Linked DNA regions of Rattus norvegicus. The protein of the gene in region 1 interacts with the protein of each later gene in a biochemical or structural test. Links are inferred from orthologs where the notes say so. Each region holds a gene or a part of one and is shown on either strand. Other genes may lie near its edges. The genes, in order: Usp8 and Stam2.

Region 1 (16,775 bases):
AGTGGTAGAGCGCTTGCCTAGGAAGCGCAAGGCCCTGGGTTCGGTCCCCAGCTCTGAAAAAAAGAAAAAAAAGAAAATAAAACTTATATCGTTTTATGAGAAAAGATGACTTGTGACAAAATGGCTTTATTAGACCCTTCATACTCTTTTAAACATATCATCTGGTATACATACTGGTCAGGAAGCAGGTAACTTGCATCTGAGCAATCACACATTTATTCTGTTAAGACAAAGTTAAGAACTTCTCTAGATCTTATTTACTCCTGTGATACCATTTTTCAAATAAACTTTAAATTAGCTATTCACCAAATCTAAATAGTAAGAAAATGAAATAAAATTGATATGACTTAATCAACTAGCAAAGAGCACACACTTCTTGGTGCTGGTTTTCTCAGGTTTAACTTCTGTCTTCTTATTGAGGTCTTTGAGTGAAGAACTGAGGTAGAGTTCTTTAGGAACTGAAGCTACAGCAGGCATGATGAATGATTCTTGCTTTTCTACTTCAACAAACGGATAATGTGGTTCATGAAAAGTAGTTCTTTCCTAAAACAAAACAAGTAAACAATTCCACTAATTAACCTCATCAGCAAAAACAGTTAGAAAACAATCATGAGGCAGAGGGAGAGAGGGATCTGGGTAGAAAGGGGAGCAGGGAAGGGCAAAGAGGAACATCATCAGTTGGGGCAGTAGGGTGAAACAACAGGAGAGATGCTCTGAGGGTCAGCAGAATGAATGGAAATAGGCAACCTCGAGGAGTGGGAGGTGGGGGACCCTTTAGAATGTACCAGAGCCCTGGGAGACGAGAGACTCTCAGGACTCAAAGGGAGGATCCTTAGATGAAATTCCCAACCGTGGGGACAGGGAACTTGTAGAGCCACCTCCAGTAGTAGAAAGACAGGACATCAAGTGAGGGATGGGGTTGCCATCCCTGTCAAAAACCCTGACCCAGAATTGTTCCTGTCTAAAAGAACTGCAGGAACAAAAATGGAGAAGAGACTTTGGGAAATGAGGTCCAGTCACCAGTCCAAATTGGGATCCAGTTTAAGGGAAGGCTCCAAGGCATGACACTATTGCTAATCCTACGTTGTGCTTACAGACAGGAGCCTAGCATGGCTATCCTTCGAGAGGCCCAACAAGCAGCTGACTGAGACAAACACAGATACTTACACCTAACCATCGGACTTAAGTTGGGGACCCCTGTGATTGAATTAGGAAAAGACTGGAAGAAACTGAGGAGGAGGGCGAACCCATAGGAAGAACAGCAGTGGTAACTAACCTGGACCCCTGAGATCTCTCTGACACGGAGCCACCAACCAGGCAGCACACACCAGCTGATTTGAGGCCCCTGACACAGGTACAGCAGAGGGCTGCCTGGTCTGGCCTCAGTGAGAAAAGACTCGCCTAACCCTGAGAGACTTGAGGCCCCAGGGAGTGGGAAGACTTGGGTAGGTGGGGAGAGGGGGTTGGGGGACGAGGGACATGCTCTTGAAGACAGGAGGGAGGAGGAATGGAATGAGGAACTATGGGAGGGGGCAAAGACTGGACTGTTAAAAAATTAAATCAATAAAAAAGGTTCTGGGGCTGGAGAGGTGGCTCCGAGGTTAAGAGCACTGACTGCTCTTCCATAGGTCCTGAGTTCAATTCCCAGCAACCACATGGTGGCTCACAACCATCCTTCTTCCCGTGTGTCTGAAGACAGCTACAGTGTATTCATATAAATAAAATAAATCTTTAAAAAAAAAAAGGTTCTGGAATAAATTGGAAGGGATAGTGAGGTGTGTATGAGTCAAATACATTGAATGCATGTATTAAGTTCTTAACAAACTAATAAAAATGTTACATTATTTAGAGCAAAAAAAAAAGTGTTAGAAAAATGAAATTCCAGAAGTAGGAATGTAGCTCAGGGCTGGAGAGATGGCTCAGTGTTTAAGAGTACTCTTCCAGAGGTCATATCCACATGGTGGCTCAGAGCCTTCTGTAATGAGATCTGATCCCTCTTATGGTGTGTCTAAGACAGCTACAGTATACTCATATACACTAAATAATTAAATGAATCTTAAAAAAAAAAAACAAAAAACGGAATGCAGCTCAGTGGCAAAGTGACTGGGTGGTGTGAGTGGTGTGAAAGGCTTTAGATTGAATTCGTGGCTTAGCAACACACTCACGTCAAGCCTGGGCCAGCAATTGGGAAGCTGAGGTAAGAGGATTGTGAGTTTATCACTAATCTGGGCTACCCAATAAGACTGTATTCAAGGGGCTGGGGATTTAGCTCAGTGGTAGAGCGCTTACCTAGGAAGCGCAAGGCCCTGGGTTTGGTCCCCAGCTCCGAAAAAAAGAACCAAAAAAAAAAAAAAAAAAAAAAAAAAAAAAGACTGTATTCAAACAAAAACAAACACCCACTATTTAACTATATCCTTTCCCAACAGGGTCCATTTTAAGTTATCTTGAATTTCTATTTTGGGATATATTTAAGATACACACCCCCATACCCCTATGATATTAAGAAATATTTATTTTCAGGGGTTGGGGATTTAGCTCAGCAGTAGAGCGCTTGCCTAGCGAGCACAAGGCCCTGGGTTCGGTTCCCAGCTCCGAAAAAAAAGAAAAGAAAAAAAAAAAAAAAGAAATACTTATTTTCAAATGTTCATTAACTAAATGGGTTATTGTACCATTTTGCCATCAGTATTTAAATCTTTTTTTTCAGTATTAAAATCTTATCTATTAAAAAGAACAGAATAATAAAGTTTTCATATTTTTCTGTTAAAACTACATTTATATACAAGTAGAATTTCCAACTTGGAATATTTTGTTTTCCTCTTGATATAAGTTTATAAAAGTAGTAGGCAAAACCAGGTTTATACGGAGCTAGGAACTAAAACAACATATTTCTGCTTCTGCCAGGAAACACTCCTACACTTTGGTTTACTCTGAAAGGATCTTTGATAGTTCATGACATTTTTTTGTTTCCTGGTATGCTAATTCTGACCAGTAGAAAATATGAAGTAAACAAAATGAAAACAGGAAGAATCAGAAGGTATGCACTAATTAAAATGGCATGTTACTTTTTATGAAGATACCAGAGATGGAACAGATCAAAGCGCCCCAGGCAGTGTCTTGGTATGCTCCTAAGTGTCACCACCTGAAAACCAGTGACCAGACTAACTTCCAGTGTGGTCTTCTGCCAGGCGTAACTACTTACAATTTAGTAATTTAACTGTAACTTTATTTTCCCCCATCATCTCTGTGCTCTCTAAACGGTACAATCAATTCAGTTTCATCAATCAATTCAGAGATCAACAAGCGCCTATTCCCAAGAGAGTGAATAGGGAAGGCGGTAGAGAGATGGCTCAGAGGTTAAGAGCATTGATTGCTCTTCCAGAAAACCAGTATTCAATTCCATGCATCCACATGTTGGCTCATAACCATCTATAACACCAATCCAGAAGATCCAACACCCAAGTGATATGTAGATGTACATGCAGACAAAATGGCCACGTTTCTCTGTATAACCCTGACTGTCTTGAAACTTGCTTTGTAGACCAGGTTGGACTCAAACTCAAGATCTACCTGCCTCTGCCTTCCAAATGCTGAGATTAAAGGTGGCTGGACAAAAAAAAAATTCCTAAGGGCTGATTGAGGTACAATTTAAGGGAATGGTCTTAGTCCACTTACATCAAACTCCAAAAACACTTCAATTTCCTTTGACTCTAGTCATTCCTGTATTAAACACTAATACTTTATGAATATCTGGTCTTATCCCTTCCAAGTCTGTGTTAGGACTATATTGTTACCAAACAGCTTTCCTCTAAAAATCCCATTTTTACCTTTTCAGGTTTTTCTATATATATACTTGCTCCATGCATCTTTCAAAACATGTTGAACTAAATGGTAACTGATACCTTGATATATATGCAATTAGAAACAATGACTTTAGGGGTTGGGGATTTAGCTCAGTGATAGAGTGCTTGCCTAGCAAGCGCAAGGCCCTGGGTTCAGTCCTCAGCTCGGGGGGGGGGGGGGGGGGGGGACACAATGACTTTGCATATGAAACCTTTACCTCCTGTTCTGAACCTTGTATCTAAAGTTATAATAATGGGAGAAAAAGTTTCTACCCTCACCATCACTTCCAAATGGGTCAAGTGATACTGGATGTGTTCTACTATCAATTCATTAACAATTCACTAAGAACAAAGAACATCCATTAAATAAAGGGTGTGACAGGGATCCCTTGGATTGCCTTGTTCTCAGACAGCACCATTATTTTAGTATCAGTGAAAACCCCAAGCAGATTTTCCTTGCAAGTGCAGGTTCTGCACTAAAGGACAGCTGTTAAAGAAGACATAAGGCCTGGTATCTAATATGAACACTTTAATTCACAAACAGGTGCTGGATCCCTTGGAACTGGAGTTAAAGATCCTGTGAACTGCCATGTGGGTGCAGGAATCAAACCTGGGTCATCTGAAAAAGCAGCCAGTGCTCTCAATCCCAACTCTTTAGCCCCTAAAACTTGGATCTTTAAAATAAATGTGAAAATCGTGTCAGATATATAGATAATTTAAAAGAGTAGGTCATTAGCTAGTTAAAGTAAAATGTAAGCGCATTGATATCCTGCTATATAAAGTGCCATGCTTTCAGAAGCTGAAGGATTAGACTAGTTCCACATGAGGCTTACAAAACTAATGTGAAACAAAATTGTAATCAGTGGAAATAAAAGTAATAGATGGTGTTACAAATAAAAACATTAGGAAAGAAAACTACAACCAAAGGGAACTAGAAGTAATCAGAAAAAAGTGAACGTTAAGTATCTTCTTTGATGAAGATGGCTTTGATAGCAGTGAGGAATAGTGTGGGGACAAGGTCAAGAGACCAAGTGCATCTCTAGGAATCAGCTATCAGACAGAATGTACAAGAAGCCATGAGGCAGAGAAGTCAAAAACAGTCTCCACACAAATCATAAAAGGCTATGAAAAGGGGTTAGTGATTTAGCTCAGTGGTAGAGCGAAAAAAAGAAAAGAAAAAAAAAAAGGCTATGAAAAGCACATGAGCATTTACCTTGTTTTCTAAAGGTAATAAGAGAACCACAGCAGGGTTCTGAAGGAACCTGCTTGTTAGTTGTGCAACCCCAACTAACAAGAGCACAAAGATGTGAAGAAAGAAAATCCTAGTTATCTATTGTAATGATTTGTAATGATGGAAGAGAAAGAAGGATGGAGGTCGGACCCAGGGTGACAGAAGTGAAATAAGGAAGTAGAACAAGAACAAGAAACCCTGCAAAGACAGCGACAGGGCATGCCACATAGTCAGACTCCGCATGGAACAATGCTACTAAAGTCTTCAGCACGTGCGTGTGTGTGTGTGTGTGTGTGTGTGTGTATGTGTGTGTGTGTGTATGTGTGTGTGTGTGTGTGTGTGTGTGTGTGTGTATATGTATGTATGTATTTTACTGGATTATAGATTCAAGGCCAACCTGGGCTTCATAGTAAGACCCTGGATATATGTATGTATGCATGTATGTATATGTGTATATTATATATGTAAAATTATGCAATATTAAAAAAAGGATTATAAACTAAAGCAAACAAAGTAGCCCGATGTGTAGCCGGAAGCTAAAGCAAGAAGACTGAGAATTCAAGCCAGCCTATGCTAACCAGCAAGACAATGTCTCAAAACAAAACGAGAACTTGATAGCTCACATGACGGCAGTGCTATTCCAAATACAGTCCAAAGACCAACGCTGGCCTGGGGAACTACCACTTGCTGATCTGTAACCAAATAAGCTCATTATAGAACACACGCCAAAAAGCATACACCTTTTATAGTCCTTGAACCTCCATTCTAAGGCAAGCTTTTACTTCCTAAAGAAAACAGAAGGGGCTGGGGATTTAGCTCAGTGGTAGAGCGCTTACCTAGGAAGCGCAAGGCCCTGGGTTCGGTCCCCAGCTCCGAAAAAAAGAACCAAAAAAAAAAAAAAAAAGAAAGAAAACAGAAGACTAAGCATAATGCAGCCATGTCTCATCACTGAGGTAAGGTGGAACCTTAAGTGAGGCAGACTCTGAACACACTTTTCTAAGGGATATAGAAAACAAGGGTTGGTGGTCACAAATGTCTTACTCTGGTTAACCAGAGTTAATATTCATGAAATAATAAGTCAACAATCAATTGCTCTAGTACATATTAATATGACTCAGGTCACTAGCTGAACTCAGGGAAAGAAAAATCTAGTTCAGCTAGACAGAGAAAGCTTCAGCCAGCCCACAGTGTCTTCTTCAATGCTGGCCCCTTCCTTTCAGCTTCAGCTTCCCTCTGTCTGTCAGTTCTTGAAGTTCATGTCTTAGTCTGAGTCCTACAGTACTTGCTACCTATATTGCTCAGTCAGTACAGTTTTTGGGCCAAATAACAAATTGGCTGAAATGATGAGAGATGAAGTGAGAAAGGCAATGTTTCAGAAGGGAAGCACCATAGAGACATAAAATGAGAAATCACTGTGAGAAAACAATTCGGAAACTATAGTAAGGCAACCTATGGGAATCATGAAGCAATAATCACTGGGACCAAAGGAGTGCACTGATGATATGATGTATCCTGACTCTAACTTAATAATCCTGTCAACACTTAAGAGCTGCTAGATTAAAAAGTAAGTACTGGGGTTGGGGATTTAGCTCAGTGGTAGAGCGCTTGCCTAGGAAGCACAAGGCCCTGGGTTCGGTCCCCAGCTCCAGAAAAAAAAGAACCAAAAAAAAAAAAAAAAGTAAGTACTGTCGCAGAGTGGAGGGCTTGAGAAGACATTTGGCACATCAGTATTGCCTCAGGACGGCCAGAATGGGTATATGCAAGAGGATTTGAAGATGGAATAAGGGAACAATACTATGGGAAAGAACAGTTAGGGAAGAATAGCAGGGAAGAACAAATTGGGCACACTGCTTTGGTGATTTAATGATTAAAACTGAGTATTTTCACTTGCTTACATTACCTCATTTTCCTTCTGTAAAAAGACAAGAACACTAATGTTATTAACTAAATAATAATAACAGACACACAAAAATGCATGCCCAGACAGGAAGCTGAAGCTAGAAGGCGGTAAATTCAAGGCGGCTTTGGGCTATTTAAAAAGGTCATGTCTCAAAAAACAACCAAACAAGCAAGCCAATAATAACAACAAATGTGAAAAACAAAACCGTAGCTTAATATCTGATCAGTGATGGGGCTAGAGAGATGGCTCTGCGGTTAAGAGCACTGATGTTCTTCTAGAGGACCTGAGTTCAGTTCCCAGCAACCACACATAGTGGTTCACAACTGTCTGTAATGGGATCTGATGTGTCTGAAAAGATAGACAGTGTACTCAAATACATAAAATAAATAAATAATGAAAATAAAAACTGACCAGTGATGGGCATGGTGACACACACCTTTAATCCCAGCACTGAGGAGGCTGAGGCAGGTGGATCTCTTAGTACAAAGCCAACTTGGTCTACACAGTGAGTTCTAGGACAGCCAAGGCTGTCTTAGAAAGAAAAAAAAAAACCTATTGTTTGGGAGATTACAGCATATACTATCACTGAAAATGATACTGTATTACTTTTATTCTGTGACAAAAAAACCTGAAATAATTTAAGGGGAGTTTATTTTGCCTCACTGTTTTGGAAGAATTTCAGTCCATCATAGCAGGGAAAGTTATGACAGAATTTATGGCAGCACGAGTATGCTGAGGTGGCTCCTCTAATCTGGCAGACCAGAAGCAGAAAGCTCTGAGGGAGCCACAGGCTGGAACAACCTTCAAGACTATCCCCGGCAACAAACATCTACCAGTCAGGCCCCACCTCCTAAAGGCTACATATACTTCAAAATGGGGTCTGAAGCTGGGAGTCTACACAAGCAAAATTTGAGTCTGGGAGGGACGTTTTACAACTATTTTATTTACCCTGCTTTTATGTAGTGTTTTTTTTTTTTTTTTTTTTTGGTTCTTTTTTTTCCGGAGCTGGGGACCGAACCCAGGGCCTTGCGCTTCCGTAAGCGCTCTACCACTGAGCTAAATCCCCAGCCCCTATGTAGTGTATTTTAAAGCATATATAATTCTCTTTAAAACACTGGCATCAGAGTACAGCGGCATGCATCTGCAATTCCAGCTACCTGGGGGGAGGTTGAGGCAGAAGGATCTCTTCAGCCCAGGAATTAGAGGCCAGCCTTGGTCATGAGAGTAGAGAATAAATCATCAAGGAATCGAAGCCTTGTTTTTGCTGCAGCTGATACTTTACTTAAGGCCTCAAACTAGGCATCCTATGGGAAGAAAGACTCAGTAGAGAACAGACATTGCACAATGAAGGGAAGCATAGTGCTAAAAAAGGAAAAGAACAGGGGTTGGGAATTTAGCTCAGTGGTAGAGCGCTTGCCTAGGAAGCACAAGGCCCTGGGTTCGTTCCCCAGCTCCGAAAAAAAGAACCAAAAAAAAAAAAAAAAAGGAAAAGAACTCTAAGGCACACGAACAAGTATTAGAATGCTAAGGAACAGAAATGAAGGAGGGAAGGAAGGAAATAGCCCTAGTTTCTAAGAGCAATTATATATGGTTAGATTACAGAGTTTTTGATTTATACAAAAAATAAATTTGCGTGTGGTCACACACATGTTGGGAGCCTGTAAAGTAGTTTTGAGAACCTTTTGCTTTAAAAGGTAGGAGTCAGGCTTTTGGTACATCGCAGCAGTGCTTTGATATGTATGTGCCATGCCCTGGGTGCCCTAGCACCAAACACACATAAACACAAAAATGGTATAAATCCATCATCTGATAGGAAGGGTGCCATGATTGCTCTAACCACTAGAATATTACTAGAAGTTACTGTGCTAATTTCTTGATACAGGCTTTTCAGAGACTAAAGTGTAGTCATGGAACCCAGCACACAGGCTATAAGAAGTTCAATCCACACAGACGCTGCACTAAGCACTGCAGTCATTATTCCCAGCTGTAACCAACATCAGTAACTACGGTGAATGAACAATCTTGGAGTGCTTTCTGATAACCTAAACCCAGTCAGTTTTTATAACAAAATAAAATACAAGACTCCTCCCTGCTCTTTGGCTGCTATGAGGTAAACAGTCTCCATTAACATACTTTTGCCACCATGGGACTATGCTTCACCTCGGATGCAAAGCAATGGATCCAACTAACCTTGGGCAGAAGCCTCTGAAACCGTGGGGCAAAATAAATCTCCTTCCCTAAGCATATTACGAATAAAGTTTGATGTGTTGGCTTTATATTACAACTGTTTTACAAAGCCATCTGGATTCTGACCCATTTATGTTCTTTTTTTTTCTTTTTTCTTTTTTTCGAAGCTGGGGACTGAACCCAGGGCCTTGCGCTCGCTAGGCAAGCACTCTACCGCTGAGCTAAATCCCCAACCCCCCCATTTATGTTCTTATCAACAAAAGGTCAGAATGATTAATAAGGTGTAAGTAAATAAATCAACAAGTTAATGGATAAAAAGAAAACTTTAAATATTTCTGTTAGTTTTTCATTACTCACAGACTTATATTGCTACTGCAAGATCCGTGCAGCTCAACTAAAATATGTACCTAATATCTGGTCAAAAGAGCAGTAATATACATTTCATATCAACAGTGGCATGATTAATATATATACTAATTCACAGTCTTAAAGAAGCATGAATACAGCCTTATTAGGCAGAGCTCTATCGATAAGAAACTCCCTAAATCCAACATGATTGACTTTCAACTAGAAGTCTTAAACAGAAAGAGTCATAAAGCAGAGAGCTTTAAAAAAAAAAAAAAAAAAAGCAACATGCAGAGCCTGGCAGTGGTGGGGCTGCACTCGGGAGGCAGAGGCCGGTGAGACCAAGGCAAGCCTGGTTTACAGAGTGAGTTCCAGAACAGCCCTGGCTACACAGAGAAACTCTGCCTCGGAAAAACAAAAGCCACCAAACCCAAAAAATAACACATGGATTTTTTAATGAAGTAAGATAATATACACAACTAAGAATACTCTACAGATTAAAAAAGATTGCCCTTGCCAGGAGTGGTGCTTGATGCACAGTTTTATCCAACTCTCGAGCCAAGGGAGGAGGGTTTCTGTGAGTTTAAGACAAGTCTTGTTTACATAGTAAGACTTGTTTGGGAGGTGGGGGAGATTACACTCTTTAGGCATCCTTTTGATCCCAAACCCTAGAGCTTTTAATAAACATTAAACCCCTTAGACTCTGAAACACCTCTGTGAGTCACATAAATATTTCTTGAATGACTGACTTGGTCAAGGTCACAGACTGAAAGCTAGAACAAAACAGGAACAGGGTCTGCAGCTTTGTGGGTAAATGAACATCACTGTGTTTGGGTTTGACAATCCCCTCGGTACATCATATTTGAAGTGAACTTGTCAGTGCCAAAAGTCTACAAACGAAGAAACATTTTTTTAAAAAATAGAAAATGCCCTCTTTGAAGAAGTTTTAAATGTGGTGAGTTTATTTAACTCAATTCTTGTACTTCACTAAAATCATGCGTGACCGGGGTACAGGGGAATAGGGAAAACATGACAAATGGTTGTAGTAAGGCCTGGGATTGTAGATAGCACAAAATGAGAAAAAGGAAGCAAAAGGAACGAGTCCAAAGTTGGGTCTAGTGTCCAAAAGAAAGGAGAACTGGTCAAGGCCACCCTCTGAGACCGGCAAACCACATCAAACTCGCTGGGCACCGGAGGAGGGGAACGGGAGAGACCAGGAGTCGGGCCCTTCCTGGACCAGCCAGTTGTCAGGGGTTGTCCCACCCCTCCGCGGACACCGCTCGTCTCCCGGATGACCAGCAGCTGGAGGACGCCTTCCCCGGGAACCGGGGCCGGAGCCAGGCCGCACTCACCGCAGCGCCCGCGCTCCGCTAACGCCGGCCTTCTCGCCTGACGCCCATCGCCCACCACCAGAAGGAGAACGAGCCTCCGTTCTCAGACGCAAAGCAGCGCAGATCATCCCCTCTTCCCGATTCGCATTGCGTGCGACGGGTCGCGCCTCTAAACGTCACGGAGGGGGCGGAGCTTCAAGTGAGAACCGTAACTCCTCCTCTCTGTCCGGTAGGGAGGGACAACGGGGTGGCCCTCTCCAGAAGGGTGAGCACGGAGCCGGTGTGAGCATGCGTCAGAAGGGAGGTTTGAGCCTGTGCGGGACCGAAGCGCCCATGCAGCACTTCCGGGGTCCTCGCGCATCTCATTTCCTAGAGGAAGTCAGTTCAGAATGTGTCACATCGTGTTTTAAGCTGTCCATGGAGGAAGCGAAGATATTTTAGCGCCTCTCAATAGTGTATTTTTCTTCTCAGATCGGAAATTGGGGAGAAAAAAACGGGAAGAGGATTGATACCCCAAAAACTTGAGAGTAAGCATTCTCCAAATCCAAGCCTCTTGTTAAAGAACAGACGTGTTTGGAAAACATTGCACAAACACGGTCAAAATTTCCTAAAGGTCCAGTCTTACAAAGCTGGGTCTGAACTCTGGAAGATAGTTTGTGGAGAAAGGATGGGGTACTCGTGGACATAAAAATTGCTTAGGGTGGAGTTGTCCCTGGTCACTAAATCCCTAGGGATAGTCCAAATCTTTTTTCTTTTTTTTTCTTTTTTTTTGGAGCTGGGGACCGAACCCAGGGCCTTGGGCTTGCTAGGCAAGTGAGCTAAATTCCCAATCCCGATAGTCCAAATCTTTAATGCATGTCAAATCTGTAAGTACAGGTCTACTAAGTATATATAATGAAAATATTTAGCAAATAGGCAGTCAACCGTAAAGACTAGTAAGCATCCAGTCCAGCAGCCTTTAAAATAAACATTAATTTCCTTCCCATTACAGTTTGCTACATGCAAAAATATATTTGTATTCCTTCTTTAAAAAACCAACACTAAATTATATACTATTTGATCTCTCTAGACAAGTAAAGACTGCTATGATAAGGCACAATGCTTGAAACTATTGAATAAAAGTCTCAATGACTTTCTTTTTCCTCATAATTAAGGAAGAAATTGCTTTTTGAGGACGGGTTGTTTTAGGAAAATATTTTCTCTACTCAGCTTTGTAAAATTGAATAAGGAAAGAAAAACTTAGAGCTGAATGTGAGAGTAAGTATCAAACACATGGAGAACGTTTTGGGGTGCTCTGACAATTGGAAGAAGGTAGGAATGAAAGAAGAAGAGAGACATCATTGGAGTGGGTCAATAAAAAATTTCTCTTAGCCCAACAAGATGGGTGAAATCCTTACCGGGTAAGCTAAGCTTGACAGTCTGAGTTTGATCCCTGGAAAACACACACACACACACACACACACACACACACACACACACACACACACGCCTGGTATCTCAAAAGTTGTCTTCTGATCTCCATGTGCTTTCTCTCCCCAAGAACAATTTTTTTTTAATATATTGATGAGGTCCCAGAAAAGCTTTTAATAAACACTGCTTTTTAATATTCACCTACAGTTATTTTTTTAATGTATTTATGCATGTGATGCCTTCTGAGGCCAGAAGAGGGTGTCCTAGCCCCTAGAGCTGAAGTTACAGGTAGTTGTGAATCACTCAACATGGGTGCTGGCAACTGAAGCTTTGTCCCCTTGAAGAGCAGCAAGAGCTCTTAGCTCTTGAGCCACCTCTTCAACCCACGCCTAGAGTTATTTTACTTGCATTGATGTAATTCTGCTTCTGTCTCGTCCCACTCCCAGCAAACAGAATTCTTCCTGCTTCACTGACATTTCAGTCAGGTTTGCTAGAAATCACAAGTCATTTGCATGTGTTTCTGCGTAAATAGAGAAAGAGGTGGACATGTGGGTTAACAGGTGCCAAACATCAGAAACAAGAAATGGCAAGGTAATCCCCAGTCCGAGCCATACAGTAAAAGCAAAAAGACTGGAGATAGCTCCAGATGACTAATAAAAATCCTGAGGTGAGATTTGAACTTTTCAGTCCTTATGGGATGAGAAATCTTCATGAGGAGAGACACCTGGATGAAATTATGCTCATTCAGTTGTATTGTAGGACACGGCTCTTTTTCATATATATATATATATATATATATATATATATATATAATAACAAACTAGGCAACAGTACTTGTGGTGCCTAGAATAATACCTATTTAAAAGTAATGGCCCATATTGAATCATAGCTTCAGTGCTCACATAAGTCAGTACCTGGTTCACTCACCATTATTAAACATCCACTTACTGGTAGTTAAGCAAGGTGACACAGATGTAATCCTAACACTTGTTGGGAGGGGATAGAGGTAGGAGGATCAGTAGTTCAAAGACAACCTCTGCTATACATCGTTTAAAGCCAGGCTGGGCTACATGAGGCCCCGTCTCAAAAAATTAAGACAAAACAATATTTTTAAAATAAAAACTGTACAGTTATTGAGTAGATGTTTGTGCCAGTCATCAATTTTCAGAGTTGATTTAGGTTTTTCTGGTAAAGACATAATAAAAACATAAAGTCTATGTTAACCATTGTTAAATTCTAAGGGTAAAAATAAACTAAGGGGTCTGGAAGGACGGCAGTCTCTTTTATGGGATTGACAGGAGAGGGCTTTATGAAAAAGTGGTACTCTACAGGACCTAGGGTGAGAGATGCACTAATGGGTATGTACAGGACAAAACCTGTGAAGCAGGGACGAGTGGGTATGCTGAAAGACTTGCAAGAATTTGAACATGAAGCCACAGTAAAAATCTCCAAATTCTTGTGATGGTGTTTGCAATCAAAATAGGCATGCTAAGAGCACTGTATATAAAGTTATTTGTTAGTATATAGCATACAAACAGCATACAATACTTTACACTTAGACTTGGGGTTCTATCCCCAAGATACTTCATTAGATATGAAAGAATTCCAAATTAAAAAATTAAAGCCCTGAAATTCTTGTTGTCCCAACCATTTCAGATAAGAGATGTGCTGTTTTTACAATTGGAGAATGTTACCAACCTTCACCTATAATGATACTTTAAGGAATCGTCTAAAGAAGATATTTTAAATTAAATATTTAATATGTATAAATGTATATCATGTATGTGCTTGGATGCAATCCTTCCTTGAGATAGAACTATACTATAACACACTATGTATTATATTATAATATCTCCACAATTTATTTCCAATTGTATGATTCATAACCAGTCCCGTAGTTATTTTTCTATTGCTATGGCAATCTTCTAGGCTCTGAAGGGGCTGAGTAGTTCCGCCTCTGTGGCTCTTCTGTCCACAGTATACACAGATTTTCTCACAGACTCAGACCAGCTCCATCCCACACTTGCTGCTGTCCTTGGTGGTTGCTCCATGGCACTGGCACCTCTAAAGTTCTGGGCTCTCCGTTACAAATGGACTGGTTCACCTGCAACCAATTCTGGACTCTCATCAGGGAACCTAAACACGACCAGACACTGTCAGCCCTCAATTCTCTACTTGCCCCTTCAATACTAGGGCTTCTAGTGCAACTAAATTTGGACTGTCACCAGTGGCTTCTCCTGGCCTTCTTCATGCTTTCGAAAACAGTATTACCTGGGAGACTTGCCACATTCCAAAGGACCACATCTTCTCTGTGCTGATCTGAGGAAACACCTAAGAAGACTCTGCCTCTATGATACTGCTGGTCTCCTCTTAAACATAGCTTAATCTCTTCTCAATCATTTTAGTGATTTTGGCCTCTTGTCAATGAAAGCAAATTTTTTAACCCTATCTGACCAGAACACAGTCTTTGTTTGTTTGTTTGTTTGTTTGGTTGGTTGGTTGGTTGTTGGTTTTGTTTTTTCAAAGCAGGGTTTCTCTCTGTGTGTAGCTCTGGCTGCCATGTAACTTGCTCTTGTAGGCCAGACTGGCCTCAAACTCAGAGATCTGCCCGCCTTTGCCTATTGAGTGCTGGGATAAAAGGTGTGCACCATCACCTCCTGGTGCAGATTTTAAACTCAGAATATCAAGTGGTCCTAGTAGAGTCATTGAAGGAATTGTAAACTCCCTCTGAAACTTTACAAGCCAGGCCTCCCTCATCTGCTCTACACTCACCATTTTCTTCTAAATCCCCACAGTAATTAATTTGTCTCTGAATATTCAACTCCTTTTCTATAAATCTTTTTTTTTTTTTTTCCTTTTCTTTTTTTCGGAGCTGGGGACCGAACCCAGGGCCTTGCGCTTCCTAGGCAAGTGCTCTACCACTGAGCTAAATCCCCAACCCCCCTCAACTCCTTTTCTAATTCAACATTTCAAAGTCTATCCACAAATTCTGAAAAGTTGGTCAGGTCTGTCACAGCTGAGAGGCCAAATCTTTTCAATTCAGACTCCATTTCCGAGAACCTGACCTGAGTTTGAACTCAGGTAAACAAGCATAGCATTAGTTTCTAAGTTATCTCCCAACAAGACCAGCATCTCCAGGTTATTCCTCCAACAAACCTGCACCCCCAGGTTACAAGCCCGCCCCCTGCCTAACAACCCCAACGCAGAGGGACTCAAAACTTAAGTTTATAGTATGACTCCCAGCACCAGCCAATTATGTTAATGGCATAATAACTTCCCAATTAGATGCTTGCACACTTACCCCCCACTTGCTGTTTCCTATAAAGTCTTGCCCAGATAGATATTCGGGGCTCCTCAGCACCAAAACCTTCCTGCGTAGCAGGGGTGCACTGAGGAACCCTAGCTAGCTTGAATAAAAATGTCCTACTGTGATTGCATCGGATGGGCTCCTGTCTGTTTGGGGGATGGGGTACCTTTACAGGTTGTTATGAATGTTCTTAAGGGATTGATGCGTACAAGGCTTTGTGTGTTTAGGTGGGCAATTATATCTTATCAATTGGATCAGAGGTTATTGTGTTGTGTGTTCTTTCATGTGCAGATTTAAGTATAAGGGAGTGTGGGGCGGCTGGGCTGGGCTGCCACACAGTTATGTGTGTTTCTGGCATGGAAACCTGCCTTGGGAACTATATAGGTAGAGAGATTGCTGACAGGGCTCAGAGAGAGGCCTTTGGCAGTATGATATGGGATGGAGCAAATCGGGTGAGAGGCTTTGCTGACTGAGATTTAAGATATCTAGCAGATATCTTAGGGCACCCCAGTGCTGGATCTAGAGGGAATAAAAGACAGCATTTTATTTTTATAATTATACCACAACATCCATCTCTTGTTCCAAAGGCTAGAAGACTAGATCCCACATGGTTAGGAGCAGGTCTCATTGCCCGCGCCCATAGTGACATACTTCCTCCAAAAAGACCACCCCTCCAAATAGTGCCACTCCCTGGGCCAAGCATATTCAAACCACCACAGGGACTTGAGACAGAAACTTGGAGACAGAAACTGAAGCAGAAGCCATGAAAGGAAGCTGTTTAGAGGCTTTCAGCCTGTTTTGTTATACAACCCAGGTCCACCTGCACAGGAAGGGCACTACCCACAATGGACTGAGCCCTCCCACATCAGTTAGTAATGAAGAAAATACCCTCAAAACTCATATACATAGGCTACTTTGGAAAGGGCATTTTGTCAATTGAGGTTTCTTCTTTCCAAATTACTCTAGTTTGTGATACATTGACAATAAACTAACAAACATAATACCTAAGTTTTCCTATAGCCTACACACACAGACACACATACAAGGATGCACAAGCACCTGCACACACTCAGCAAAAGTGCACAGATCCTGTTGTATGGCAATATAGAAGTCTGAATAAGAATGGCTCCCACAGGCTCATCTCCTTGAATACTTAGTCACCAGGGAGTGGCACTATTTGAGAAGGATTAGAAGGATCAGGAAATGTGGCTTTATTGGAGGAAGT
Region 2 (15,975 bases), about 77 Mb from region 1:
TATCTATCTATCTATCTATCCATCCATCCATCCATCCATCTATCTTTCAGGGCAGGGTCTCACTATGTAGACCAGGCTTTGAATTCACAAGGATCTGCAAGCCTCTGCATCCAAAGCATTAAGAGTTTACAGTTTTTATTTAAACGCAAGGTTCCATGCAGTAGGTATGATGAGATGATATCTTGTGATCTCTTGCTACTACATTATAGTAGACTTTCAGAGAATAAGTTAAGGGAAAAGAAATGCTCACACAGCAACAGCACGTAAGATGAGAAGGCTTATTTAACTTGCTTTCTCCAAAACCTCTCACTCCAAGTACTAAAGGCACTGAGAATGCAAACTGCGTTTGCCTGTGTCTACCACTTTCAAAAACAAAACAGTGTGGTCTGCATCAGACCGTGCAGAGTGCTTTGAGACTGACCACATAGGCAGACTCACACTCAAGAGGGAAACAAACCGCACTGAACAGAAGAACTTCACTTTTCTCCTATTTCTACTATGGCATAAATATATTTAAAACGTTTAATTTTAAATCACACCAAATATGTTGCTTTCAGTAGAGGATTAATGTTGATATACCAGGTTTATCTCCGTAATACTTCCTGGTACTCAGAATAACAAAACTGTAGTGTAACCCTCAGATACAAGTCCACTTACTTTTCAGGTAGTCCTTACTCATGGGCTTGAAGACAAAAAGGGGCCTTAGAGGGCAGCTGAATAAAACACTGAATACATATTCTGTGATAAAGTAAATCAATAGGAAGATTTAAATATGATTTTCTGAGAATGCTTGTATAGAAATATTAAACCCAAGTCAACTTTGGTTGGATCTTACATCCTTTTATGAGCGAAAGCACTAACTTTTTAATACATACATACAGGTGTCGCTAGCATTGCTCCATTAGGCTAACTTACCACAGCACAGAACTAAGAACACGCTGACATCAATCCCTGTGAAGACCACTAGGGTCTTTACTGTGGGTTCAAACCTTAGCAGCTATCAAGATATCAATTAAAGTAAAACAGTGCCATTCTACCCAGGGAGAGCAGCAGCGGCCTCCAGCAGCTCCACCTTAAGAGTGGAAAGGGAGAGCTGGCTCGGCAGCAGCCACCTTTGATTCCAGCACTCAGGGGGCAGGGGCAGACTCATCTCTAAGAGTTCAAGGCCAGTCTGGTCTACACAGTCAGTTCTAGGGCACAGACAGGACCGTGCAGAGATGCCCTGTGTCAAGCAAACAGGCAACAGCAAAAGTTAAAAGTGAAAATGTTACTGTAAGGAGAAGAGTTTGTAGGTTCTTGTTCTAAAACTAAAGAAATTTAACACAGCTCTCTAAAACGTACCTTAAATATGGAGGTTGGATGGTGTGTGCTGTTACTGAGTTCATATTTGGAGGCAGAGACCTCGATGAGCCCATAGGATCAGGTCCTAGGTTATAGCTCTGGGCAACAGGTACTTGGTGAATGCCATGACCCAGGTAGTTCCCACCATGCGACTGGACTGGGTATGTCTATTAATCAAAGAGAAAAAATGTTGCTCACTCTATGATTTAACTAAGCACACCTAGAACTTTAAGACATAAAAGAAATGAACTGTCTATTTGAGGAACAATCTGATTCTGCTGATCTTTCCACACTGGAACAAAAAGTCTCCAACTTTTGATATCTAATCAATGAACTTTTGCAGTGTGTTTAATTGTTCTTTGATTTTCCAGGAGTTTTGAAGAAAAGAGTGGGGACTGTATTTTTAAGTAGAAGGCTGGACTCTATCAAGAGTGTCTATTAATATACATCTTGCCACAGAACCTTCCCCTGAAGGGAAGCCCGTGATTACTCCAGACCACCATGAGGATGACTACTCCACCTCCCCCACTGGAGAGAGGCTGAAAGAGAGGACCAGGGTGCTGGGCCCTCTCTGCTTTGTGTACCCATCTCCTGCTGTGGAGGGGCACTAGTAGGTGTGTTTTTATAGGAGAACTGAGTCACTGGGGGGTGGGCTTTGAGATTTCAGATGCTCAAACCAGGACGTGTGTGTGTGTGTGTGTGTGTGTGTGTGTGTGTGTGTGTGTGTGTGTGTCTGTGTCTGTGTCTGTGTCTGTGTTTCTGTTGCCTACCAATCCAGATATCAAACTCTTGGCTCCTTCTCCAGCCATGCCTGCCATGATGACAATGGACTGACGAAACCTCTAGGCAAACCCAATTAAATGTCTGCCTTTCTAAGAGTTGCCATGGTCATGTGTCTCTTCACAGAAGTGACTAAGAGACCTGCCTTCAGAAGATGAGCTATGAAATAAGACAAAGTGCATTCTTAGGAAACGGCAAAAAGTCACTAGATTCTTATGTAAACCTACGTAAATGTTCACAGACAGTAACAGTTCTGTAAGGACAGAGTCTATCGGCCTATTCATAACAGCATTCAAAAGCGAGCCGTATGTTTAATAATAACTACTATATGGTAGTAATCATTGCTTAAGTTTGATTTAAACCAAAGATTACATTAAAATCTAGGATAATAGGCGACGCCAAGTAAGCTACATAAAATGCAATGATGTTCTCTTTAGCAAGCCTCTGCCAAGTGAGACAGGAATGGGCTTCTGGAGTTCACCATTTGTAAGTGTATTTCTTGTACATAACCCAGCCACTCAACTTAGTTCATATGTTTTTCAAAAACAGAACAGTAATTTTTTGAAATTTCAAACAAACTCACACATGACTTAATGTATTAAGAAGCTGTGTGAAAAAAGTAAATGTTAGAGAACACCTAAAGAAGGAAAAGAGACGAGCTGTACAAACTGCAGCCCAGACACCTGGCACAGGAGCGACCGCCCTTCACAGACATGAAGCACACACACTTCTCGTTCAGGGGAGCAGACACTTCTAACTTATTCCACTTCCACAGCAGCAACAAACATCGTTTTAAAAACAGAAGTAATAGTGAACAAACTTCAGGAATCTTTTTTAAACCCAGAAATCCTTTCTAAGCTCATATGTAATTCTCAAAAAGTTCAGAGCATGGCATATTTGATAAATGCTTCTTCTCTGGTGTGACAGTTACCACAGTAACCATTTTAAAAAAATACTTAGCAATTATATTGTGTTACATCATCTAATTTATGCACCACATTCTAGTTGCTCTCCTTGGTGTCTCCTTCACACACTCCATTGCATACCACTTTTCATAAATTAACATGAATTTTGCTCATCCACACTTAATTTAAATTTAATTGGCTAAGATTTGAAAAATGCTTTGGAATGGGATACTGAAGAAATTGAGTATTCTCATGTCAGCTGGAGGCACAAAACCATGCTAAGTAGTGGGAAAGCAATGTTGCTAATGGGCAGCTTCTGGCAACTACATCTCACAGCCCAGAGCAAAGCTTCATTACACAGACGTTAAGGCGTGAGTCTAAGAAAATGCTGCTCTTTCAGAGGACACAAGTACAATGCCTAGCACCCACATGGCAGCTCACAACTGTATGTAACTCCTTCCCAGGAGATCTGACACCCTCATACAGACATATATCCAGACAACACTTTAGGGTACATAAAATTAAAAATTATGTGTGTGTGTGTATATATGAGAGAAATTCGTGCTTGATAAAACAGGACTTACATGTACATTTTTGGTTGTGAGCCTAGCCTTTAACGGCTGAGCCATGTCTCCAGCCCAGGACTTACATCTACAAAGAAGACTTATACCCCATACATACTTACTTCCTTACAGAGGCATAAAAAGAACCAGGCACAGTCTTTTCAATGTGTTAAAAATAAACTGGAATGAATTTGTGAAATATCATATTTAATCTTTATGGCTAACACTGTTCAAACAATACTTCTGAAACCATCAAAGTTCAGTGCCAAGGTCTGCAGATATGGAGATCCCCTCCCACCCCCACACACCAGAGGCTTGTGTGCTGGAAGTCTGGATTTCAAGAACTTGGTGAGCGAGAGCTAACTTTACCCATGAATCCGCCCGTTAGTGAGTGCATGGTAGAGCGTGCTGTGAGAAGGTAAGGACTTGCTGGAGAAAGCAGGTCCCTGGGGCCTTATCTTGCCCTCAGACCTGCACTATTCTGCCTCCCACCTGCCCTGGGGATGGAGTGCTCTTTTGGGCTGAGGACAGTGGAGCCAGCTGACTATGAACTGAGACGCCTGAGATCACTAGACCAGCCAAACAACCTTCCTCCTTTTAGCTGACTCTCCTCAGGTACTTTCTCACAGTGAAGAAGGAACATACACTGTTTTGAACATTGGTTTTTTGTTTTGTTTGTTTTTTTGTTTTTTGGTTGTGAGCCTAATCTTTAATGGCTAAGCCATCTCTTCACATCTTTCCAGCCCTAGTTTTATAATTTTACTCGTGGGCAGCAGGTCCCTGGGGCCTTATCTTGCCCTTAGCATTATGCTCTTAAAACATTTAATTTTTTTAAAACCATGACTACTTCTCAAGAGCAATGCTCACCTGCACTGGAACCCCAGCTGCTGTGGCTGAGTAAGGAGCCGGGTGGAGCTTCGAATAGACTGAGTACATGGGCGCTTCATTGACCAATTTGTTGTACAGCTCCAGGGCCTCCAGCACCTTTACGTTCAGCTCCGACAGCTCTGAGTGCCTCCTGATGCAAGACAAGTATTTTCAAAGTAACGTGAAGACCGTTCAAGTTTAGTACACATTTTTGTTCATACCTCAGAAGGCTCTTTTTATATGCAATGAAAGGGCATCCCCAAAGGAAAACTGAGAGGAGAAACTTGAATTCCATCAACAGACTGGTCCATCTTCCTAATAATACAGAAAAGGCAGATCTACACCTCATAAATTGCAATCAATTCATAATTTGGGTGCTAGAATTTAACTTAATACATTATAGATTTATGTCAAAATTTTAATTACAAAGAAAAATAGTCTATGTTTCAGTAAAAGTCTATGCCTTGATTATAAACCCCACTAACACAGTACAGTATGTAGATGAAGACCCGGAGCCCCTGTGAGGTATACTGTGACTGCAGTAAGAGCAAAATGGGAGAAAAGCATACACGCCTTACTCAGGTCCAGGACAGGACAAACTAAAATCAAGGAAACACAAGTAAAACCAACATATACACAAGTTGGGCTACTCTGTTTACTTCATTACTTTGGGGAAGTAAACAAAACTAGGCACAGCATTAGACAACAACAAATCCAGATAAGCATTATCCACCCAGGAAATGCACCCTGATGGTACAACTCTGCCCATTCCCCTGGGGGTGATGAATGACGGTGTAAGTTAAATGGCTACTTTTTGTGTGGTATTAATCATCTGTAAGTGTATACTGGATGTGATTCAGTGTGAACAAGAGAGATGAGAAGCCGAATAAACTGCCCAACACACAAATAGCAGTCTCTCCTTCATTAACATGCTATTTGAGCCAACTAACAGGTGCTGTCTCTTCTCGTGCCATGACCACAAGCAGGCAAACTATCTAACTGCTGCAAAGCACTTAAACCTACAGAAGTCAGGTGTACGCAGTAACAGCGTGATGTGGCCTACGTAACCCAGCGTACTGCAGAGACACTGACACAACAGCGGACGGCCACGAGCGCATGCATAAGACCATCCTGCAAGACTGACAACCCCAAGCAAAGGCAAGCCTTCAGGGAATCACACTCAGGACTACACCAGAGCAAGCAAGGACAGCTGAGGCGCTTCTCCTTGGAAGACAAGGTCAAGAGCACAAAAGAAAAACCAGCAAATGAAGTAACACATAACCAAGTGCAAACTTCTAAGGAGTGGGGAAAGGACAGAGAACTTAGAGGTTAACGGGAGCTGGAGACAGCAGAGACAAGACCAGGGCTCAAGTTCGTCCTGAGGAAAGATGGACAGGAAAGGTAGAAACAATGACCAGGTCAGGTCGGCCAGATGGTAAAAGAAAGGTAGGCAAATGGACAACCAGGATACAGGGGAGGAGTGAAAGGCCAACCTAATGGGGAAAGCAGTAGAAAATCAGATTACAATAGTCTGGTAAGTCAGAACTGGAGGGCAGTATGAGAGCTCATGCTTTGTGATGACAAAGTGAAATGTACAATTTAACTTTCTAACAAGGCACTTTAACTCTCATTCCCATCCCTTATAGAAATAGCAAACTGTTGCTGATTTATTCAAGGAAAAATGATTTATATTTATCTTTGAATTCGTGGCAGGAGCAAACAGTCCATGAGACTATAAAGCCCTAGAGGCTGCAATGTCCCCTCTGCTATGAAACACTGACCCTGGCTCACAGACTCACAGATGGACAGCCAGCTCTCACTCAAAGGTAACTGACTTCAGAAATGGGCACTCTGAGTTTTAATTCCTTTAGACATTCTTCTTTAGTAAATTCTTCTTATTAATGAAAGTAATGTTATGCTGTTCTATCTTCCACTATATATATGACATCATTCCATATCAGAAAGTATTTTTCAATGGCAATTAATTTCTACTATAAGACACAGAACACTGAAAGACATTTTAGTTAGCTGCATATTTATGGTCATAAATAGCATTGTGTTTAATATCACAACATCTGGTCACTGTATAGCTCCCTAGATTTAGTACGCATTTCAAATGGTTTGGGTAAAGAATATTTTTAGGCCTAGGGAAATGCGTACTAATATTGCCAGCCACACGTATGGCAAACTAGTTATTTTTTTCTCAACTTTCCCAGTGTGATTACTCACTAATCATTAGTAGCAGATGTATAAGTAGGTGTGGGATATGTTCTCCAAAACTATGATCTATCTAAAACTATGACCAATCTACCACTGATTATTTCAGTTTTGTAAAAACACAAAGGATTCATTAAAAAAAAAAACTATATCTGCATGCTATGGAGGAGCTGGAGAGATGGCTCAATGGTTAAGAGCACTGGCTGCTCTTCCTCAGGACCCAGATTTGATTTCCAGCTCACAATCACCTGTAACTCCAGTTCCAAGGGAACTGAGGCCCTCTTCTTGCCTCTGCAGGCACCAGGTAGATACATGGTGCACAGATATGAAGGCGAACACTTACACACATAAAATAAAAATAATGTTAAAATACATTATGGAACAAACCATTTTTTCCTGAATGAATCACTGTTTGCTGACCTACTAGAAAATTAACCTAATCCCTTTCTTTTTGTATGATTTATACAGCTGTTCAATCACTAGGGGCTGGAAAGGGAGAAAAGCGGAGAGTAATTCCTTCCCCTTGGACTTCATTTCTCAAGCTTCTCCAATGGGAGTAACCCTGTCCACCAGCAGCACTGATGCCCAGTCTCAGAGCAGCAAACTCAGGGCGACAAGGGAACAGAAAAGGCATCAGGAACACAGAGAGAGGCTTGAGAGAAGACGAGGGGAGTCGCTGCACTGCATTTAGCTTCCCAAATTAGGGAAGTCTCACTCGTTATATTCACAGATGCTATTTCTCCTGGGTCTGTCACAGTCAACCTCACTGGGTACACCCGTGTTCATGTTGTCCTTGACACACTTCATTCTTTCGTACTCAATTCCAGCCCCCAAAACAAAGTGACTGTGATAAAATGCAAGGGTCCACGGTCTACACATGCCACATTCCTGCCGTTGGTGGGAGTGACGTTATGAAAATAAACAGCGTAACCAGACGCTAGCTTTAAAGTCTGGCGACCGACCCGGAACTGCAGTAATTGCTCAATCCCACGAGCGACTCCCCAGCTGAAAATCTGCTCAAAGCAAGTGAAGACCTCACCTATCAATTTCTTCAAGTTTTTCATCTATCATTGGACCCATCTGTTGGCAAATATCTGTAATACAGAAATAATTACAAATATAGAAACTTAATACAAGTCGATTTCAATAATCTTTAAACAAGAGAATATGCATCATCATATAAAATATAGGGAAATAAGCTTATGCCAGGAAAGATGATAAAGGCGAACCTGGTCCAGATGTATGGACTATGTGTACACACGCACAAGCATTGGACAGTCATACTTTTTATGTATGTAAGATGTTTTACAATGCAGGGCTAAGATGGCTATGCAGATAAAGGAGCCTGCTATACAAGCCTGGTGACCTGCGTTTGGTCCTAGGGGGAGCAGAGAGCCGGCTCTACAGAGATAGCCTCTGGCTTCCACGTGTGCATATGGCATGCTCACACATACACACACCAAACACTTCACAGACTTCCAAACGTAAAAACAAATATCATAGAGAAGTGCTCCATATTCATAACCAAGCTTTCTTTTATATAAAAAATTTAAGACATCTATTTACTGTGTTTTTTTTTACAAAGGTTGTTTAGTTTTGTTGTGTGGTTTTCTGACTGGGTCGCACTCCATGGTCCAGACTGGCCTTGAACTCATGGCGCTCTCCCTGCCTTAGCCTTCTTCATGCAGGAGCTGTATGTACAATCAATCCCCTAAGCCCAGAAGCCCAAAGTACTGGGATTGTTTGTTTGACTCTGGTTGACTGCTGGTTGGCACTTGGTTAGAAACCCGAGAAGGATCCTTAAACACAGAAGAGTATCTGTTTTGCTTTAAACTCTTAGAAACTAAATGACACACAGTCAGAAGACAGTTAAACAAAAATAAACTTTTACATACTGACTTCACTTACTATGATATGATTTGTTGTTGTTTGTTTTTTGTTTGTTTTCAAGACAGGGTTTCTCTGTGTAGCCCTGACTGTCCTGGAACTTGTTCTAAGAGCCGCCTGTCTCTGCCTCTCAAGTGTTGGGATTAAAGGTGTGAGCCACCTGTCCATGCTGTTATTTCTAATCCTGCCTTTTCTTTGGCCAATTTCACTAGAGACCTTACAAAATACAAAGACTCCTTTCATGAAATGGAGATGGGCTGTGACAGTATCTTCCAAGTGACACTTCTATTTATTTACAATTATTTATATACAAGTCTGTTTCTCACAAGAATTTCAAATCTCAAAGAGCAAACAGGAAGCAGGAAAAAAACTTCAGGACACTATAAACTGTAATATGTATGTAAGCAACATAAAGGTGAGTTCAATATTAACTAATACCTTCCAAGTCTAAGAGGTCCTGGGAGTCGGGTTTTGGATCTTTTGGGTCTATGCTCTGGAGAATCTGCAGGGCTCGGTCCATTTTACCCTAGAAAAGTAACAGGAGACACTGAGAAGTCCAGTTAACCGCACTGAGTGGAGAAGCACTGTTCCCACCTATTCCAAAAAGATAGGATATTTTTTAAAAGTTTTGCTAGTTTATTAAACAAAAGGTCGATACCTCATCTATATAAACAGGCTCAGGTTCCGACTTCTTAATTTCCTCCACATCGTCATCAATTACATTCGATTTGTCCACTGTTGCTACAGAAACAAAATAAGTTTTTAAGTTTTGCAACATTTATATCAGCATTACAATTTAGTCATTAAATTTCTAGGTGGTCTATTATTATCCATAGGAAATAATTCATAATCAATATATTACATATGGTCATTTATGCCACAATATTTACTCAGCACTCACGGTGTGCCAAACCTCCTTCCCAGTGCTTAGATACATGCCAGGCGGTGAACACAATCATCTGGGAATAGATGTTATCACTAAGCCAGTCCCACTTATAACTGCATGCTCCATGTACCTCTGACCTTCTATATTTAAAAATTAAAAAAAATATATGTATTTCCTAGTTGAACAAAACATAGACTGAACTTAAGCTATCTGAGAGTTAAAATAGTATAAAGCTAAAACAAAAAAATATTTCCTAAAGAGAATATTTTAAAATAATTTATAAATATGCGTATCCTGAAAACTACCTAATACGAGATCCCTGGAGCACTGCTAGAAAGTACTCAATTTTAATTAAACTTTGATGGAAACAAAAGTTCTATTGAAAACAACGTAACTAAAGGATGAGGTCTAGCGGCCTCCTGACCTAAAGTATTTGGCTAACTTTGAATTACATGTAAAGAGAGCTCAACAAGACATAGAGATACAGTGAGGATCAAGATGACTTTTCCTGTCAGGCATGGTGTTTATGCCTTTAATTCTAGCACTGGGAGGCACAGAAAGGCAGATCTCTGTGAGTTCAAGGCCAGCCTGGTCTACAAACAGAGTCCAGGACAGCTAGACCTCTGCTACACAGAGAAACTCTACCTCAAAAAACAAAACAAAAAGAGTACTTTTTACTATTTAAAAATAATGTTACTGAAGAGAAATTGTGATCAAGCCTAGGGCTTTGCACATGCTAGGAAATCATTTTACTAAACTACACTCCCAGCTGAATATTTTACTGTCACAGGCCAGTCTCTTCAACTCTAGCAAGAGGAAGAGCCCTGAACAGGATGTCTTCTATGTTGTATAATGTTATCTGAAAAGCTCCCAAGGCTTCTATCAACTACGAAAGCCAGAGAGAAAGCAATGCGCTCTGTGTCTACATGAATACGCCTCCCCTCACCCAACTTCACTTCTCCTCATGCTTCACTCTGCACTATGAACACTGTGCACGGCACACGACAATTTCACAACATGCTCTTTCTGTAGAGGGGGCTCAGCTCTGCCTCAGCAGGAGTCTGAGGGCACTCAGAAGTGAGCCTGGAGGCCTTTAGAATTCTGGCCCTATCCCTTACCAGACAAGTTCCTCCACCTTAGCCTCCTCTATCAAGGCAGCAAACATACTGACTCCACAGGCAGGAGAGCATGGGAGAGTGCTGACAGGCTTAACCAGCTGTTAACCAACTGTCAACATTACTCTAGGCTGATTCTGTACACTTAAAATCACCCAGGGAGTGCGTGGGTAACAAATGCCCGTGCTCTCGGTGTGGCCGACTACACGGTTTATATAGGTGCAGGTGAAGGTCAGTGGCCTATAATCAAATCAAGATGGAAGAAAATATAAAAGTTAAGGATTCACAAGGCCTGTTGCCTTGCTCAGCACCTGCTGACTAAGACCTATGTGGTCCCCACCTTTACTGTGGTTCCAAAAACATTTTGTATAGACCAGATACAAACTGCTTCTCAGTTTTTGATTTAAATATTTATTTTGCATCATCATCACTATACACACCAACACCCAAAGGATTTGAAATACACAGATCTGCCTGCCTCTGTCCACAAGTGCTAAGACTAAGGTATGTGCTGGGACACCCAGGCCCTCCCACTCTCAAACGCCAATAATAAATTCAAGGGAAGATAACTTCAGTAGACCGATGCTTCTCTGAGAAACCAATACCTTTGTTGCCTTACCCGCCTCAACCTCGGTGCTTAAATCAGTCGTTACGAAGCTGGAGGGGAAGAGTCCTGCTCCTCTGTGATTTTCTCCTTCCCACCAGTTGGCATCACTGAAAACAGCACGGAAAAGGTCACTGGCTATTCTGCACCCCAACAAGAGAAACTCAACATGGCGACTGGACTTTCACATTTTGTTCCCATCTAGCCATACTTAAAAGCTGTTTTTCTTAGCCAGACACAGTGGGACAAACCTGTAATCCTAGCATCGGAGAACCAGAAACACTTTTTTCTCAAATTAATGAAAAGACAGTTAAAAATGTATAAACCTAAGAAAATCTATATCCCCATACCATCGCTTCGAAGCAATTATCAGTGGCTAAGCCCAAATCCACCCTCCACACGCCCAGCACCACACTCGAGGCAGCTCCTTCCCTATCTACTTCCCATCCCTTCACACGTAAAGACAGCTGAGCTGACACTTGTGTGGAGACGTGTGTCGCTCCAGGGAGAGCCGTTTAGTTTCATGGTTAATACTTCCAGCGCTACTCGTCTCGTTTAAAGTTCTGTCACAAGTGCACATGCACTTAGTTTAATCATTTCTGTGAAGATGGACTTCTACAGCTCATTCCAGGTCATTCCCAGTCTCTCAACTTTATAGACTGAAGAGCACAGGGAGGCAGTGGGAGATGCCTTTGGGAGGTAGAAGCAGATGGAGCTCTGAGTTTAAGGCCAGCCTGGTCTACAGAGTGAACTCCAGGACAGCCAGGGTTACACACAGAAACTCTGTCTTGGAAAAACAAACAAGACTGACTAGTAATCACTCTGGATTAGAAAGCTGATACGCAACTACTGTTCTAGGTTTGTTCAAGACTGACCTGCGCAACTACTGTTCTAGGTTTGTTCAAGACTGACCTGCAAGCTAGGTGTGTTCTGATGCCTATAGCTCTTCGTACTTGGAAAGAACTGTATGAGCCATGGAGTTCAAGACCAGTCTGGATAAAAAGGCCAAAACAATGAAACTGTCTCCGAAAATATTAAGGGATGGGGGTAGGGAGAAGGGTGGACACACAGACAAAACTACGTGCTGGCTCAGGCATGCTTGGTTTTACAGATATTGCCAATGTTCCTTAGAAAGACTGGTACCTCACACTCCTTCCCCAAGGAGCATGTGGGGCAGTCATTTTCCCACACGTGGTAATTGTCCGTGCCGACATCTGATTCTAGAAAGAAGGCAAGGCATGCTTCATCATGCTCACGGGGATTCTCCAGGTCTCTTCCACAAACTGCTTTTTCTCTTTTTCTTTTCTCCTTTCTTTCTTTCTCTCTCTTTTTTTTTTCTTTTTTTGAGACAGGGTTTCTCCATGTAGCCTTGCTATACTGGAATTCACTTTTTAAATTGCTTGTTTTAAAGATTTATTAATTTATTTTATGAGTACACTGTAGCTGTCTTCAGACACACCAGAAGAGGGCATCTGATCCCATTACAGATGGTTGTGAGCTACCATATGGTTGCTGGGAATTGAACTCAGGACCTCTGGAAGAGCAGTCAGTGCTCTTTTTTTTTTTTTTAAAAGATTTATTCATTTATTATATATAAGTACACTGTAGCTGTCTTCAGATACACCAGAAGAGGGCATCGGATCTCTTTACAGATGGTTGTAAGCCACCATGTGGTTGCTGGGAATTGAACTCAGGACCTCTGGAAGAGCAGTGGGTGCTCTTAACCGCTGAGCCATCTCTCCAGCCCAAAATAAAGCAATGTTTTGACTTTTTTTTTTTTCTTTTTTCTTTTTTTCGGAGCTGGGGACCGAACCCAGGGCTCTACCACTGAGCTAAATCCCCAACCCACAGTCAGTGCTCTTAACCACTGACCCATCTCTCCAGTCCTAAACTGCTTGTTCTTATCTTTGCCTGTTTAGTTTTTCCTACTGGACCATAGGTATTTTCTTCATGGATTTTAGTTCTTTATGAACTTAGAATGGCAACTGAATTAAGACCACCCCTGCTTTCAGGGCAATTAAGTAACCTTTTCTCCATGTCTCACATTTATCTAGCTTTCTCTGCCCTAAATTACTATCTACCCCCTCCCCAGAGACTTGTCTAATAATTCAGATTGCATTTTTGTCCATCTGCCATGCTTAGGTCACTAAATCATGTGGAATCAAACTGTAAGTGCTGTGTGGAACAAACTTCATTTTATTGTATGAAGAACAAATCAGTGCAGCAAAAATTACTAAGAGTTCACTAAAGGATGCTCCTAGCCTCACAGACTTGATTTAACAGGGTGGGGGGATAGCTGGGGGTCCCACCCACTCAGAGGAGAGGGAAGGAGGGGAATAGGGGTAAGGACTGTGTGAGGGGGTGACCAGGAAGTGGCCCGTGAGCAGGATGCAAAGTGATTGAGTAAAAAATAAATTAAAAAACAAAAACAAAAAAAAAAACCCCTAACATCTGCTCCCCTAACAGTCACACTGCAAGCTGTGTCTGTCCTGAGCCTATCTCGGTGTCTCACTCTATTCCAACAGTCTAGAGGAATTCGTCAGCTGCCGTTTAGCTCTCTGTAGATTCCGTTACTTGCAGTCAATCATGCTGCCAAGAGAAAAAGACTGCAGAGGCCAGCAATTCCTAAGGCTTAGATTGCTTCTCATCTGCCTAGGAAGTGACTGCTATGTACAATACATCGGGAAGAGTCCACGCCCCTCATGCTGGCTGGTTAACCACTCTCTGGACACATCACGTCTCCAACTTTTTTCAAATTCTTTGGGAAAAAGAATTTTAAAAGGAGTTTAATTGGAAATGCAGTTCATTTATGTGATATGAGAAAACCTAAATCTTTACAATATGAAGGTTTATCACTCTATTTGTATGTTTATAAATATAATGTATACTTTTATCTCTTACCTTTCCAGGAATTTTATAGAGTCTCCATAAAGGCCTTGCATACCCTTGCAGGTTATTCATTACCAGATGGCGTTAGTGATTTTACTTTATACCTAAGTATGTGGGCTTGAGCGTGCACATGGCACCACATGCAGGCACCTGACAGCTCAGAAGAGGCACTGCACCCCTGAAACTGGAGTTACAGTTGTGAGCTGCCATGTTGATCCAGTGGGCCAAACACAGGTTCTCAAAGTCCTCACAGCTGCAGTAAAGAATGACATCTTCCTACTACATTTTCAAACCTACCACTGATTTTTGTCATTAAGTTTTATCTAATAAATCCAACTTAGCTGTTTATCAATACCACTTATTCTCTTGGACTTCCAAAAAAGGACAGTCATAGTTATCCGGGAAGAACCCTTTTTATCTACTTTCTAGAAATTTCATGTGACAAACTGTGATTCTTAAAGATGCTTTTGGTTTTCTTTTTCTTCTTGGTAGGACTAGGAACTGTATCCAAAGCCTTTTCGTGCGAGGTTCAAACTCTTACACTACGCTGTCCTCAAAGGAGGAATCCTGGGATTAATGACGAAGCTGTCTCTGTGCCTCTGAAGCATTTCATTTACTGAGTTCCACAATGATATAAGCGAGCTACCCACCACCTAAATTCTTAGATCAGAGAAGGAGGCATCAGTAGCCCAGAGATATTCTGTACACTACTTTCTACACAAGCAAGGACTCTCGGTGAAAACACAGCCTCCTCACTTGTGTCTGTCACATGGGTGCTTGGCTACAGCAGAGAGAAACACAGCTCAGCAGGTGACTCCTGAAGAGAAGCTGACTTGACAAGATGAAAGGAAATTAGGCTGTTAGAATAAAACTGGCATTTCTCTGCATTTATTATGGAATGCTATGAGAAAATAAAACAAACAACCTACCTTTTGTATTCTGAGATTTGAAAGGAGATTGAGGTTCTCCTATCTGGTTTTAGGTCTTGGGCTGGCAACACAACTCAGCTAAAACCACTTCCTGGGCCTGGAGATCTGAGACTGACCCCTAGGACCCAATGGCGGAAGGAAAGAACTGTACGGTGTCCTCTAACCGTCACACACATGACACAGCACACATGTGCACCCTCCCCACAAGTAAGTGTAAGTCTCAGAACCAAGGAACTCTTGAGCCTTTCTCTTCAGCTGTGAGGTCTAACCAGAACAACTCCCTGACGACTCTTGTAATGACAGTGGCAGAAGGAAAGTGATGCCCTTGATGGGTAAGACCATCCTACGAGGAAACCACAGCTACTACAGGCAAAGAAGCAATAAATTCTGTGCTGATGCTATCCTAGCCTTTCCTTAAAGCTTCTTTCTTATTTTTCTGTTTAGTGCTTAGACTCCTTTCAGTTTCTTACAATTTTTTTTTCAAAGTCAACCCAAGGGGTTAGGGACATAACTGAGAGTCAAAGCTCTGCCCTGAGTGTACAAGGCCAGAGTTCAGTCCTTAGCAGTGAAAAACATGGAATGAAAAACACTCCATCAAGATTCATCTGAAACGAAGCAACCCTCCCTTGGGCAAGCCAGTGTCTATACCAAATGTAAACTGGTTCTCCGTGGCCTGAGACAGCCTCTTTCATGGTATCGTCATGCTCTGTCTTGCATATATCACTGTCTACCCCATCATTTTAACTCCCTTACTTAAGTCTCACAAAAACAGAACTGTGTCCTCATTCATTTTTTTTATTATAAATAGTCTATTACATAACATCTTCTCTATAAATACAGCAGCAAAGCAAAACCATATGTATGTAGCCACTTAAAAATAGGCTAGACTAGGGCCAGCAAGATGGCACAGCAGGTTATGGTGATGCCTGACTGTTTGTGTCTGGCCTCCAGAACCCACATGGGGTTCTGGGGTAGAAGGTGACTCTTGCAAG

Evidence for each region.
Region 2: the proteins of Usp8 (region 1) and Stam2 form a complex in vitro, tested with the Homo sapiens proteins (3 studies listed by BioGRID, with this or other methods). The link is inferred for Rattus norvegicus from reciprocal best matches to the Homo sapiens genes USP8 and STAM2.

The regions. Positions count from the first base shown.
Region 1 is NC_086021.1:134,409,744-134,426,518, reverse strand, and holds the start of Usp8 (ubiquitin carboxyl-terminal hydrolase 8), read right to left. Parts: upstream 10,994-16,775; 5' UTR 10,855-10,993; intron 544-10,854; exon of another isoform or gene 493-543; 5' UTR 478-492; coding exon 374-477; intron 1-373. UniProt on the Homo sapiens protein: Hydrolase that can remove conjugated ubiquitin from proteins and therefore plays an important regulatory role at the level of protein turnover by preventing degradation. Converts both 'Lys-48' an 'Lys-63'-linked ubiquitin chains.
Region 2 is NC_086021.1:57,599,128-57,615,102, forward strand, and holds part of Stam2 (signal transducing adapter molecule 2), read right to left. Parts: intron 11,276-15,975; coding exon 11,181-11,275; intron 9,302-11,180; coding exon 9,219-9,301; intron 9,087-9,218; coding exon 8,999-9,086; intron 7,768-8,998; coding exon 7,713-7,767; intron 4,608-7,712; coding exon 4,457-4,607; intron 1,509-4,456; coding exon 1,342-1,508; intron 1-1,341.